Linked DNA regions of Rhinolophus ferrumequinum. The protein of the gene in region 1 interacts with the protein of each later gene in a pairwise test. Links are inferred from orthologs where the notes say so. Each region holds a gene or a part of one and is shown in the gene's direction. Other genes may lie near its edges.

Region 1 (7,988 bases):
AGCTGCAGTGCCATGGGCCACTTCTTGGCCTAAGCTCCGTGAACTGTGCGGTTTCCGCTCAGGCTGCTCTTAGAGCCCTGAGATGGCCATGTGAAGTCTGGGCTAGTCTGCTGGATAACGAGAGACTGTGGCCTAGTCACCTTATCACCTCAACTCACAGCCTGCTGAACTGCCAGACCTGAGGAAGTGTCCTGAACTACTGAGCCTCCAGCTAGCTTGCTGCACGAATAAGTCCAGCAGGGATTAGCCAAGCTGAGGCAGACCAGAAGACCCTCTCAGCTGAGCTACAAAGTCATGAGGTAAGTAGCTATTGTTCTAAGCCACTATGTTTTAGGGTGACGAGTTAGGCAGCACCAAAAGCTAACTGATACACCAATGCCTTAGTATCCCAAGACGTGCATGAGCCACGCTACAACCTGGAAGTCAGCATGGAAATTTACCTCTCCCTCATTTCCTGCCACACGGATGATCCCCAAATCCTGCCATAAGCGTGTCCAGAATTTGGCAATTCCCCTCCATTTTCTTGCCATTGTTCAGGCCCTCCTCCCTTGCCTGGGCCACTGCAATAGCTTCCTAATTGGTCCCTCTGCCCTGTCACTTGCCCCTTTCTCCATGGCAGACGTCCTCTGACAGTGCTGCTAAACTGATTTTCCAAAACCTAAATCTGAGTGTGGCAGACTTCTTTTTTGAAGACCACTCACTCCTGGATATCCCCCGGATGAGGTCTAAGCATGGTAACAAATATTCCTCTCAAAATCTGGTCCAAGCCCAACCGTTCTGCCGACCTTATACAACAAACGTATTCTCCAGGCACATTCAATACCTCACTCTCTATTAGCCTTTCAGAACTCTGAGCCTCTGCACATCTGCCCCCGCTGCTGGCGTGCCCTGGTCTGTCTCCACTAAACTTCTGGTCCTCCCCTATAACCAGCTTAAACTTTACATCCTCTTGGAGGCCTTTCCTGACGCCCACCAGGCAATGAGCCACTTCCTATACTACGGTGGCTGTTCATGACCCCACTTAGAAAGAACCCTTATTATTATACAATTTCTTTATATATGTTACCTCTCTAGATCCCCAGAGGCAGAAACTGTATCTTATGTTCACATAGTTTTATGGCACACAGAAGGCTTCAAAGAAATACTGGTGGAATGAAAGAAACAAAAGTTTACAGGACAGGACCTGGAGCCTCCCAGACTCAAGTGTGAAGTCTGACTTATGAGCTACCCGACCCTGAGCAAGTTCCTCTCTTGGATCCTGTTTCCTTCCTGTAAAATGGGGATAACAGCACCACCCTTGCAAGGTTGTTTTAAGGATTAAGGAGAATGTATGTCAAATTTCAACCTCAGTCCAAGGCATAAAACTGGTATTCAATAAGTGGCAGCTATAATTCTCATTACGCTCTCTCTTTTGACTATTTTTCTAAACTTTAACTAAGCTGCCTTATTATTTGATATGTGTATTATTCATTGAACTTATTATCACATCTTATTTGTAAATAAAAATGTGGGTGAGCTGAATTTTCTTTCTCTGTAAACAGCAGCCGTAGTCTACCTGTAAGCTGTATTTTATTAAGAACTCTTTTCAGGGCAGTCAGCGTGTTCTAAAGAGAAACAGTCCCTAGGCCCTGATCTTTGTCCCTTGTTAGGCTTCTATGACATCAATAGGATATTTAACAAGCATTTATACAAGCAAAACTTTTAAGTCATTTATTACGTAAGGTTTAATAAACTCCTGGCAGGACTGTATGCCACAGATCAGGAAAGAGTATTCCAGGAGTCTGTTGGTCTACATGCAAAAGAAGAAAAGCCAAATGTCTTCTGAATATTTTCCAGGGAACTTAGGATAGGTGAGTGTTCCAAAAATGTTGAGTTTTTAAAAATGCCAACAGACTGACAAGCCATAGGTAGAGAAGACATACTGTATAGCTTATATGCCCCTGCTTCCTGTTCCTCCCACCTGATGTGTTAAACTCTTCTTATCTGATTTTTTGGCTTTGGTGTAGTCAACAGAAAATGGCTCAGAAGGCCTGGGTTCCAGACTTGGCATGACTCCTATCGGAGCTGGTCACAACAGCTCTTTGAACTATATTTATCTTCAAATAAAAAGTCTAGATGCTTCTAGAATTAGTGGACTTTACAGCTTTGATTTCTTTGCCCTACTAGTTTATCTGTCCGTTGACATCCTATCTCTACTAGGCCCCACCAGATCGTATCTTTTACCCATTATCCTCAGCACAAATTATAGCCTACCAGTGGTATCGCAACATCCTCGTAAGGCAGCTTATCTTCTCGCCAAGCATCGTCAATCAAATCCAGGATCCTTCCGTCTCTCTGTACCTCACTGTCCATTCTCCTGAAGCTTTAATCTTGTCAAATCTGTAAGCCAAAAAGGTAATTTCTTAAACAAGACTGAGGAGATGATGTAATCAGCCCTAGGATTCCCCAGGCTTTTTAGCTTGGATGTGTCTTTTGGCATAATATCACCCTGGGGAAGATCCATCTTCTCATCTGGGTCAGATGACGACTTATTTATAAGATCACAGTTCCTCCCCTCCTACCCCAGCTGACGATGGACAGACATCAGACATAGCCCAGTGGACAAACCAGTCATAGTATGACAAAAAGAGAATATATTTGAGGGCCTCCTTTACGAGGCCACAACACGTCTAGAATGCAGCTTTTCTCTCCTAACTTGCACATTCACCTTGTCCTGTTCAGGATGCCTTTGATGAATCCTTGACTCATTCATAATCAAGTCTCCTTTCTGGCCCCTCTACCCTTTCCTGCACCATTTTCACAAAAGTCTCCACCCGCCTTAGCTCTAACCTTGGCATTCTTTGGCACGGGAGCTAAATGAAGCACAGGATCATAGTGAGATCCCCACTGAACTGGGTTATACAAAGTGAACAGCCACAGACCTGCAGAAATCCTCAGCTGAACTTGTGAAGGAAATGGCCTTTCTTGAGATGGTGCCCAGGCTGAGCCCTGAAAGGAGCACCTCCAGGTGAACCACAGTGGGAAGACCCCATGCTGCTGGTTTCTTCTTCCCTTTGGGATTCCTTCCTCTGATTCTTAACGCTGTGCCCCCTTTCATGCCTGGCCCAAGTGGTCAAGATGCTTACTTAGCTCTCGGCCGACTCCCCACTTTTTTTCTTGAACACCAATAGCCAGCTTGGAAAATACCTCTAGACTCTGTTTCCAAGTGTGGACTCTGCTTCTTCATCACAGATATCACTCTCCTGTGCTCCCTGCTACAAAGCAGCCATCCTAATGGTCTGGAATTCAGTGGCACCAAAGGCACTTGAGTCACGCCCACTTCTGAGACTGTGAAGACTTATACCAGAAAATAGTCTTTGGGGGTGAAACCCAACTCTTTCGTATAGGCCTGTGCTTTTCCCCAACAAAATGACTTCAAGATAGCTCTACTACTTGGGTAATAATGATAGGCTTTTCCCCCCATGATAAGAATCCAGGCAAAACTGAAACATGCCCAGCTTCTATGCCACCAGTGAACCAGATGACGTCTTAACGTTTCACTACTAATTCTTAGTATTACGAGAATTAATCCAGTACTACTAAGTGGATAACTCACAACAAGCTGAAGAATCCTGTCTTCAGGAAATGTACACACCAGGGGTCCTTTCAGTTCCAGTTATATTTTTGGAGACCCTGTCATACACAAGCCCTCCTTTTTCTCTGCCGCCACTCCTTTGTCCTGGATGCTCTGACCTCTGGGATGCCCTCCTTCCTTTCCTCTGATCAAAACCTGCTGATTTCCCCAGGCCCACACAAGTTCCACCTTTTCTGTAGTTTTCTCAAATCACTCCAGCTTCAGCAGGCATTCTGCCCTCGAATGCTTCCTTCTTGTCCTTATGACCCACTAGTTGGGTCAGCCTTGTGACAGACTGCTCAGCTATGTCTCCAATTGTTAGGTGTCCATTTTCCATCAATGACTCCTTAATCCATTTTCCCCCAATTTGGCCTCAATCTGTTTTCACCTGTTCCTCTTCCAAACATCTCTAGCCCTATCATACTTGCCACCCTTTGCACTTAAAAAAAAGCCTCTTTCCCCCGTGTACTTTTCCTTCCAAACTCAACGTGGGCGTCACATCATCAGGGTCAACTCCCCATTTCCCGAGTGGTGTCTTCACTCGTAAGGGGCTGGAAGAGTGGAAAGCATCAAGAGAGGCAAAGTCCAGGACACGGCCACTGTCACAAGCATTTGCTACACTCGACAGCATTCACCACTATCAGTTTCGTGAACAAACTTTTCTTACACGTGTGATGGCCCCAATGCCTGGAATGCTCTTTCCCCTTTATGTCCCAGATAATCCCTGTCGGTCTGAAAAACTTGGTTCCCGGGTCACCTCCTCCTATAGGAGGCTATTCAGGTCCCCTAGTTCCCTGGGAATAGCGAATGATCCCGACTGGGAGCTTGTCACACTGGCTGTTTCTTGCTTTCCAGACAGGCGGCGCGTGCGTTCCTTGGGGCAGGGGCACGTTTTATTCCTCTGTGCTTCAGAATTTTGTAAATACACAACTACATGATCAACGCAGACGGCTTCCCCCCCCCTTTGGCTAAAAATGACCCTCGCAGGCCACCACCATCCGTACAGGAGTGTGAGCCCGCCTCACAGCCCCGACTTCCGGCTCGAGGCTGGATATACCAAGTGTGGAAGCGGGGGAGGTCTAGGTCCAGGCCCGCCACCCAAGTTTCTTTCCACTCGATCCAGTGAGCGGTAAGGGCAGTGATGGGGCTGAAATGAAGACATCGGCCTCGGTCGCAGGCAGTGCGACGCTGAGGAACGAACGCGTTCTCGCCCTGCAGAACCTAGGCTAGGGGCGCGGGAAACCCTTACCAGCACCCGACCCAGCGCAGCACCCGCGGCCACCGGAGCCCACCCTCGGCACCACGTGACCCGCACTTCTTTTTGCTCCGATCCCCGGATGTGGGTGAGCCCATTTGCTTGGGCGGAGGGGAGGTGAGGCAGGACGTTTGTTGCCATTAAAAGGGAGGGAGCAGGGGGCGGAACGAACGTGTCGACGACAGATGCTGGACGTCAGGTTGACGGTGACGCGCGCGCGCCCCCGCCGGAGGTAACGGCGGGAAAGCTCGGGGGCGCGCGCGCGCGGGAGCGCCCTAACCTCATGTGCGCACGGAGGACGGGCGAGGGGCGGGCCTGTACTATTCCTGGGGCAGGCTTGGCCGCGGCGGCTGTGGTGCTGTCCGCCGCGCGGCCCAAAGGCTCGGGGCTGGCTTCCGCAGCAGCCCGCCAGCCGCCAGGCCCGCCCCCGCCGGCCCAGGCCAGCTCCGGCGCCCCGCCCTTCGGCCTCGTCGCCCACACCCTGCGGGCCCGCGAAGGCGGATATGGCCTTCCCGGGCGTGCCGTCGGGCCAGCCAGGTGGTCAGCCCTTCCCTGCGGCCGGGCCAGCGGGAGGGCGGCGGGTGGCCAGTTTTCTCTTCGGGGGAGGGACCTCCGGCTCAGCCCTCCCGCTCAGCCTGTCGTTTCTGGTTAACTTGCTACCGTAGCTTTGTTGTGACTTAAGCCATCCACGGCGGGTGATGCCCGTTCATTTATGGTGGGAAGTTTAGCAGTTTAAACAGTGAGTTGGCTTAAAAACAACGTTGACACAGGAGAAATGGAAATGTGGCAGAAATCGTGAAGGATTGAAGTTGGGGCACCTCTGCCTTACAGATTGCTCCATAGAAATCAGGGATCGGAAACAAGTGGTAGAGCCATGGTTTAAAAAGTGACAGTTCCTTACGAACACTAACCATGAAGATATTTGAAGACAGTATAGATAGGCTCATAATATGGTTTTTCTTATGTCCCCTTACAACGTCGGAGAGTGAAGATGAGTGTGCTGTCAGTGACTAGTCTTCATTTATAGTTACAGTACGTTTATTTGCACAGAGTAGTCTTTCTTGAGCCTTACATTTGATTCCTTAAACCTTAAGTCTTAAAAAAATTATTCTTTTAATAAAGCAGTATTGTGGGGTAGGTATCCTGTAGTTACACAGTTCTCCACATGCTTGCTTTTTATTTTATAGATAGGAGGAAATCATACAAGGATCAACAACACATTACTTTCAGGTGTTTCCATTTAGAGTCATCATAGTTGTAACTTAATGATAAAATGAAGTGTATTATTTTCTTACTTGGAATGCGGTATCATCTTTAAATTGACTTTTGTCCTGAGCTGCTTGTCCTTTCACGATATCATTATCAATGATCAATATAGTACGACTGAAAGTTAAATGTGTTAAGAGATTTATAAACATTCAGAGAGTTACACTGTCCTTTAAAATGTATGTAGAGTTAGCTTTTAAAAATTATTTGTAATAATTATGTATGTTAATTGTATCGATACACCATTTACCTCCCATTAAAAGGTAGAAGACCTTTGCTTGGTCCTTCCTGTTCTCATTTATGTAGTAGAGGTGGCACATGTTGACTGCATCAGCAGTCCACTATCAGAGCTTCCTATTTTTTAAAAAAATGTCAGCTTGGTTTGAAAGTTGAAGCCAACATTTACATAGGTTTCAGAAACTGAATTTTTGATTTTTATGTTTAGTTAGGGTTGTTTTTTCTCTACGAGGTAAGTTTGTTTTTTTTCACCTCTACAAAACCACAGTACTGCCATCCACCTATGAAAATTAATAAATATTCCATAATGTCAGTATTCAGCCTGGGTTCAGACTTCCCCGCTGTCCCTTAATGTCTTTTTACAATTAGCTTCTTGGATAAAAATCCTGTTCAGATTCATGTATTGCATTTGGTTAATGCACCTTTTAAATCTTTTGAGATATAGTAGTTCCCTTGCCTGCCTTTCCCCCCTCAGCATTCTACATTTAGCTGATTTTATCCCTATGGTATTCTTCCCCATGTGTATCTATTTCCTTTAAACCAGTAGTTAGATCTAGAATTGCACTATCCATTATAGCAGCCACCAGCCAGCTGTGGCTATTGAAATGAATTAAAATGAAAGAAAACAAAAAATTCAGTTCTTTAGTCGCATTGGCCGTGTTTCAAATGCCAAATAGTCACAGGTACCTCGTAGCTACCGTTCGGTGTAGATATAAAACATTTCCATAACTGCAGAAAATTCTGTTGAACAGCACTGATCTAGAAGCTTGATCAGATTCAATGTTGATTTTTTTTTTTTTGGTGGAGGTGGGCAAGAATATTTCCCAGATGGTGCAGTACACTTCCTGTTGCATTGATTATCAGAGAGGCACACAATGTATGAATTGTTCCTCTTTTTGTGATATGAAGATTGAGCAGTGTACTGATCCATCCATCATGAATTTCCCCTTGAGCATTGCACTTAATGGTGAAATCTTTTCATGGATTTAGATTGCCTATATCTATTGTTCCTTTAGGGGTTGCAATATGGTGATTTTCTAATTTCGTCATTCCTTTAGTATTTATTAGCTGGAAATCTTTCAGGAAGAGCTTCCTCCCACCAGCTACTTGACTGTCATCAGCTATTTGAAATACTGGAGGGCAAGAAAAATGCTTAATTCTTTCCCTCTATTTTCAGACTGCGGTAATGAGTTGGTGGCCTAACAACCTCCAAAGGTAACCGTGAGGTTTTTGCCTTTTTTAAAAACCAAAACGGTTTTTGCCTTTTTAAAAAAATCATCATGAACTTATAAGCTTGAAAATATTGAAACTGTTTCCACCTATTGCAGTTTTTTTTTTTTTTTTTTGATTCTCGAATTGTCCTGTCTTTGGCCAGTGGCAGCAGCCCCTTTAAGTTGACTCCTGTCCACTTTGATATGACAAGTAGTCTTTGATAATGTCTTCATTTGCTGATTAAACATGTTCCTGCCTCATTTATACATTTCTGGCCAACAACCCTGGTTCCTTTGAGTTGGAGATGGTATTTAGAGACCACAGCCTGAGAACTGTGCTCTTACTGCTAGGTTGGGCATTAGTTGTAGGATTTACAGTGATCAGAGTTAGGAAATACATTTTCTA
Region 2 (7,120 bases), on another chromosome or scaffold:
ATCGTACACCCGAAACTAATAATATTGTATGCCAACTATACTTCAATAAAAAAACCAAAATGTTTCCAGTGGTGATAACTTTCTAAAATAATAATTGAAACACTCCTAAAGTTAAAAATCTAATCTGTGAAGTTATTGATGTGAAACAATAATAAAATTTTTTAATAGCTATGGAAGAAAATTCAAAATGCTTGATCAAAACCAAAATCTGAGAAATTCTATCCTTTTACCCTACACTCATCAGGAATTACTGTAAATTTTTCAGAATTATAATTGAAAATATATTGTATTTTACAACAAATTGTATTTAATTGTATCTAAAACCAAATTAACGGCAAAGCTATGATTACATTATACACTATTTGATGGTTCTGTGTATGAATGTTTACCTGGTCTGCAATTTTTTTCTATATTAAAGCAGTTTCAGTATGAAACTTAGTGATTAACAATTGGTCACTCCCTTTCATATAAGATCTTTCATATCCTCATAATTCAATGTCACCCAACCCACATCCCTGTGAACATGTTGGGACATACTAAAATTTCTACCCACCACATGCCCATTCATTTATATGCATATCAGTATCTGTGGTATAAAGCAATGAGATTAATTTCAACAAGCCATGTAAGAAGTCGATTATTTTATTTTACAATGCCTTTATTCTCTCTTGATTATTTTTTTCATGCCTACTAATATCCAAAACTTGGTATTCTCTTCCAATCTTATGATTTCAACTTTTTTTTTAATGTAAAATACTCGCAAATGTCTATGCCTTGACCTCTCCCCCAAGGTCCAATCCTTTATTTCTAACTGGACATAACCCACAAGTAACACATAATGTCTCGAAGCAGATTATCTTTCTTCCCAAAACTAGTCTTCCTCCTGTGCTTGCTTATTTTAGGGTACCTCAAACTTAGTGGTTACCCAGCTTGAAGGTTGGGCTCATCTTTTTTCTTTAGTCTCCTTACCACCATATCCCACTTTCACCCCAATCCAGTCCTTTACCAAATTTTAGCAATCTACTGCCTTGCCCTGGAAATTCAGCTTCCTAATTCCCTGAGGCCATTTCACGCCTTCTTTAACTCATCAGATTCTGTGCTGCAGCTCCGCATGGTTATTTACAGAGCCCTCTGGTAAATAGTCTGTGGGCAAGGGAGCAGAGTGAGGATTTTACAGTTGTTGCTATTGTTGTTGTTTTACTTTCTGGTGAGAGGAGTAACTTGGGTATGAATTGAAAATGGGCATTACCATTACACAAAAACATGTATGCCTTTAATATACCTGGATAAACATTTTCTCTGACTGAAGCAGCAGCTCCAGATTTTGGGGAGAGTTTCGTTTTATGTGAATCAGCAGGGTGACAAAAAATTATGGATTTTGGAGATGTACAGATGTACTCAATTCCAGATCTTATCATTTTACTTTTCTAAAACTCAGACTCCTTATATTTGAAATGAGAACAATAATGACCTACTTCATAAGGTTAAGATTAAATAAGGTATATACGTATCTTACTCTATAAATGCCCTAAATATTTGTTAAATGTATGAATGTACCCCTACCTGGAACACCTCCTCTCCTACATCTTTATCCAGCTAACCTCTACTTGTCTTTTAAAATTCAATTACAGTCATCTGAATTTTCCAAAAATGATTTATGGGTCCCACTTCTGTGTTTCTAAGCTCCAGTACATATCTGTTTATCACACACTCTAACTACTGATGTCCTTGTTGGTCTCCCAAGTGATATTTTGGTAAATTCCTTGAGGATAGGGATCATACTTTATTTGACTTTGTATCTACAGCAATTAGTGTGGTGCTTGGCAAATAGCATCCACTATATTTCAATAAATGTTGAATGAATACTTTATACACAAAGTAACCAAAAGCATTGTACCATAAGCTTTACTAATTTTATTCTAAGATAGTGCAAAGTACAAACATATTGGGAAAAAAGAGAAATTTAACTACCAAATATCTACAGCAGGTATTTCAACAACAAAAATGTTCATTCTGGTTGGGTCATGTGTAATTCAAGGTGATGCACACAGGCATCATATATATACACAGCTCTCTACATAAGGATAATATCTCATACTCACTAACCATTTAAGCTGTGCCAGTTAGGTCCCTTACTAAGCCGTTTAGTTATTTGATTTAATCCTATTTACCTTAACTCCCTCTGGGTTAAGTTCTGTCTCCATTGTTAGGCCCTGCCCCCCCCCCCCTTTTCTTTTACAAGATATGGAAAGTGAGCAACAGAAAGATTAGGTAGCTGAAAGATGACACAAGTAGTGAGCGGTGGTATCAGGGTTCCAACTCAGGCTTCCTGACTCCAGAGCTTCTACTCTTAACCACACTACACTGACTTCCTACAAGTAGCTGATTTTTCAGAGATGTTTAGTGTGATACTCTGACCCAGGATGACTGGGGATATGTCTCTCCCAAGAGTAGACAATATTGTGGATGGACCAAGAGCACATTTTCCCTTCATATCGAACTATAAAAGGTTCTATCTCTAAATTGTGCCCCTGACAAGTCTATGTACATCACTGACACTGCATGTGGGTTTTCTTCCACTTTTTCAATAAACTACATTTTTCCTCTGGCTAGAGTTGGATCTTCTTTTTTATAAGCCTTGGGTTTCTTTTAATATTAAAACAAAAGTTTTTCCAATTATGGTTTGAAAACCTAAAAGCTTAAAAGAACTAAGCCATCATTTCCAGTAAAGCCAGGAAAAAAAAAAAAAAGACCACATGTATAACTTTGAGATAAGGAAATCCAAAGCCATTCAGAAGTCCCAAGTATGCAGAATTGCTAAGGTATCAATCGCAAGGGGAAACCGCGGGTACCTTGATACTGACACATTGGCTTCAAAGATCCCTTACAGGAGCCTCTAAATCAGGGGTGTCCAAACTTTTTTCAACTTTTTTCACCAAGGGCCATATGCGATATAATATACAAACAGCCGGGCCACTCACTCAAGGTGAAGTATGTATTGCCTCACCTGGTTTATTTAAGTAAACTAAATATATTTTTGGAATTTGCTGCAGGCCAATTAAAAATGGATCATGAGATGATGTAATTAATACAGAATTGTACACCTGAAATCTATGTAATTTTACTAATAATTGTCACCCCAATAAATTTAAAGAAAAAATGGATCACGGTTGGCCCACGGGTGCAGTATGGACACCCCCGCTCTAAATCATTTGAGACCAATTTAAAACTCTCAGGCGATAGGTGCTTGAGGATTACTGGTAGACTTCCAACCAGAAGATGTCCAGAATAAGGGTAGAAATGAAATCACGGAAAATGGAGGTTGTAGGAGGAACAGGGCATATGGATAACTTTTAAACTAGCAAAACTGGAGACTTCGTGGACACCCTGTAAAGATTCCTGGATCTGAAATTGATGCTAAGTAATAACAGTTCGCCACTTTTTTTTCCCCCCAATTGGAACATGGGAACTTCACCTTATTTTATTAATGAACAGACACTTTAGTAACATGTTTCATTGATGGACAGTTTGGTTCTTTGTATTTAAGTATGCAGTCACAATCCACTCATGGGGGGGGGGGGATGCAATAATGGGACTTTAGCACGCACTTACCCGTGTTTCCAGGAAAATAAGACCTAGCCAGCCAACCAGCACTAATGTATGTTTTGGAAAAAAAATTAATGTATGACCCAGTCTTATATGTTATATAAGACATGGTCTAATAGAAAAATAAGACCAGGTCTTATATTAATTTTTGCTTATAAGACGTATTAGAGGTGATTGTCCAGCTAGGTCTTATTTTCAGGGAAACATGGTAAATGCAATTCCAAATCTTCCAAGCTGAATAGGATGTATGAAGTATCACTCAAAGATATTTATTACCCTCGGTATGTTGGGTGGTGACGGCCACAGAGCGGGTGTGGTTAATTAATGAGGGTCGCAGGACCCTGAGTGGTTGGAGATGCACACTCCGCAGTCAGACCACCCAAGGCCTGCTACTCGCAAAATGGCGACCGCAGCGCCGTCTATCTGCGCGAGAGCACCACCCTGCGGAGGAACGTCACGTCACCAAGGCAACGACGCTCCTGCGTAAGGGTGCGGCCCGGGTGAAAGTTCAGGATTAGGTGTCGGGACCCCTTGTCGCTGCTGCAGCGTCTGGGCCCAAGGTGGAGCCAGGGCGTGAGCGACTCCCACGGCCCTCCGCGAGGCAAGTGTTGGCCCAGGCCTGGAGAGGACGAAGCGCAGCTCTTCTCCCGATCCGCCCCGCCTGGCCGGCGGGAAGGGAGGCACCCAGAAGCCAGCGGAGGCCGGGGGTGTGGCGAGTCCGGCGCCCGGCCCGCCCCCGAGCGCGCGCTTAGTTCCGCGCCGGGTGGCGGCTGCCAGAGTTGACGTTAGCTATGGAAACGCGGAAAGTGCCTGGGCACGATCGAGCTGAGCCGGTTGCCAGGCCGCCACAGCTTCTCTGCCTCCGTGCCCGGATCGCAGGCAGCCTCCCTGCGGGAGCGCCCAACCCGGGATTACCTGCAAAAATGCAGTTCCCGGGATGCCTTCGTATTGCCTCTTCCCTCGGGTGACTAGAGGTACGTTTGATCCCCGGCACTCACATGGGGACTTCTTGGTCGCTTTAATTTCCAAGGCTGCTCAGCCACGTTGCTCTTGCAGTTTTAATTGCGACAGATTTATCGTTCTTTGTTATAAAACCTTTATGTGCATTTATTGCACATTTTAAGACGTAAGATGACCTCAAGTCGCCAGAGGCATCAATCCGGTGTGATTTTAACTTTCTTAGGAAAGACTATTTTAGCCTGTTGACTTACAGTATTTTGTTTCTAAGACACACTTGTGAAATGGAAAATGTTATTTTTGAGCCTTGATTTAGGGGTGGCCTTTATCCCAATAAAGTTCACATACTATGTATGCCCTTAGTACAGGACTTTTTCTCTCCTTATCTCTAACTAAACCACATTTGCCCCAAATCCATCAACTCATGGCACCGTGGACATGAATTACTCTTTACCCACTGATCTGCTCCCTCTCACCACAAGTCTGTCCAGGATGAGCGTTTACTTCCATGAAGTCTGCTCCGTCAGAAGTTATTTATCAGACCTCTGAATTATCTGCTCAATTATTATTTTTTCTCTTATTCTGCTGTATATTATTAGGTGTTTTTTTGTTTGTTGTTTGTTTTTGGTTAACTCATTCCTGCAGTTAGAGCAAAGACCATCCTTTATATATCATTCCGTGTCCTCTGCCAACCATACTAAATCCCCAAATCTTTATGATAGCATCCAGAGCCAGATTCAAGGTTCAGATATTGCCATTTCAGTAATTTACATTTTGGGGGTACACATTAGCTACTCTTAAATTTCCTACTTAAAAAGCTGCCTACTAGTTATTAACTGCCACAGAAAATACCAGGTCGGGACCTTTTTTGTTTTATAGTACTAATATAAGATAATATTGAATGTCAACTGTAATTGAAAAATTAAAAATAAAAAAAATTATTGAGATATGATTCACATTTCATACAATTCACCCATCAAAAGTGTACAATTCAGGGAGTTTTAGTATAGTCACGGAACTGTGCAGTCAAATTTAGAACATTTTCATCACCCCAGAAAGAAGCCCTGTACCTTTAAACAATCACTCTCCCTTGCTCTCCCATTCTCATTATCCCCTCCAGCCATAAGCAAACACAAATCTACTTTTTGCCTTTATAGATTCGCTTTTTGGACATTTTGTATAAATGGAATCATACAATATGTGGCCTTTGTGATTGGCTTCGTCCACTTAGAATTCTGTTTTCAAGGTTCATCCCATGTCACATGTATCAGTACTTCACTCTTGTTTATAGCCTAATGATCTTCTATTGTACGGATATGCCATATTTTATTTCATTCTTTGCTGGACATTTGGGTTGTTTCTGTTTTTTAGCTATTAATAATATTTCTGCCATGACGGTTCATGTACAAATTTTTGTATAGACTTTTATGTTTTCATTTCTCTTGGGTAAATACCTAGGAATGGAATTGGTAAGTCATATGGTCACTATGTTTAGCCTCTTGAGGAACTGCCAGACTGTTTTCCAAAGCAGCTGCACCATTTTACATTACCACTTGAGGGTTCTAATTTCTCCACAACCTCACTAATACTTTTTATTGTCTATTTGATAGCCAGTCAAGTGGATTAAAGTGGGATCTCCTTGTGGTTTTGATTTGCATTTCCCTAATGAGTAATGACATTGAGCACCATCTCATGGGGCTTATTGGCATATGTATATTATCTTTGGAAAAATGTCTATTCAGATCCTTTGCCCAGTTTTAAGTTGAGTTACTTGTTTTTTCATTATTGAGTTGTAAGAGTTTTTATATATTCCAGATAAAAGTCCCATATATATATAAATTGCAAAAATTTTCTCCCATTCTGTGGGTTGCTTTTCACTTTTTTGACAGTGAGAACCTTTTCTTTTAGACACTTTCCCACTTGTGTTTATGTCTTACCAAGGAGTCCTATGTGACAGTGCCTTCTTACTGGCTTAGCTAACAAAAGTTGCCCATTTTGACAATCTGTAGTTTTCTCTCAGGCCCACCTTTCCCTGAAAACGCTTTCTCTTAGCCTTCTGTTTCTCTATCCTCAAAATAAAATTCCCTTTCATTTAGCAATAGCTTGGTGTGATTGAAAAACTCAGTCTGCTACCAACTGACATTGTATATTGGTTAAATCACTTAATATTACCGGTTCTCCATTTTCTTTTCTGTAAAATAAATGGATTTATTTCTGGTAATTCATATGAGTGGTATATAGTTTATTCACCTAATACTTGATTTTGAAAGAAAAGCATGTTAACCTACTTGAATTTATAATGGGTAAGATGTTTGAGGTATGAGAAGAGTAGATTGAGGTAGGAATAGAAGTATTGGCTGGCCCTGCTGTACATTTATCATGCTCTGATGTGAACTTTGGCTATTTCCTACCATCTTAGTTTTCCATAAGTAATGGAATGCTATCAGTTCATATTCTAGTGTTGTACATTTCCAAAGGGTGAATCCTAGAGCCAACTCATCATTCCACCTCTGAAGCATTGACAATACCTGCAATAAATAGACCCTTTGAGATGTCT

Evidence for each region. The genes of interacting proteins can lie anywhere in the genome.
Region 2: the proteins of CEP63 (region 1) and PCNX4 interact in a two-hybrid assay, tested with the Homo sapiens proteins (2 studies listed by BioGRID and IntAct). The link is inferred for Rhinolophus ferrumequinum from reciprocal best matches to the Homo sapiens genes CEP63 and PCNX4.

What each region holds. Positions count from the first base shown.
Region 1 is NC_046300.1:34,591,083-34,599,070, forward strand, and holds the start of CEP63 (centrosomal protein of 63 kDa), read left to right. Parts: upstream 1-4,985; 5' UTR 4,986-5,053; coding exon 5,054-5,100; intron 5,101-5,168; exon of another isoform or gene 5,169-5,405; intron 5,406-7,988. Other genes in the region: ANAPC13 (anaphase-promoting complex subunit 13), read right to left, coding at 2,254-2,352. UniProt on the Homo sapiens protein: Required for normal spindle assembly.
Region 2 is NC_046289.1:34,672,140-34,679,259, reverse strand, and holds the start of PCNX4 (pecanex-like protein 4), read left to right. Parts: upstream 1-4,113; 5' UTR 4,114-4,580; intron 4,581-7,120.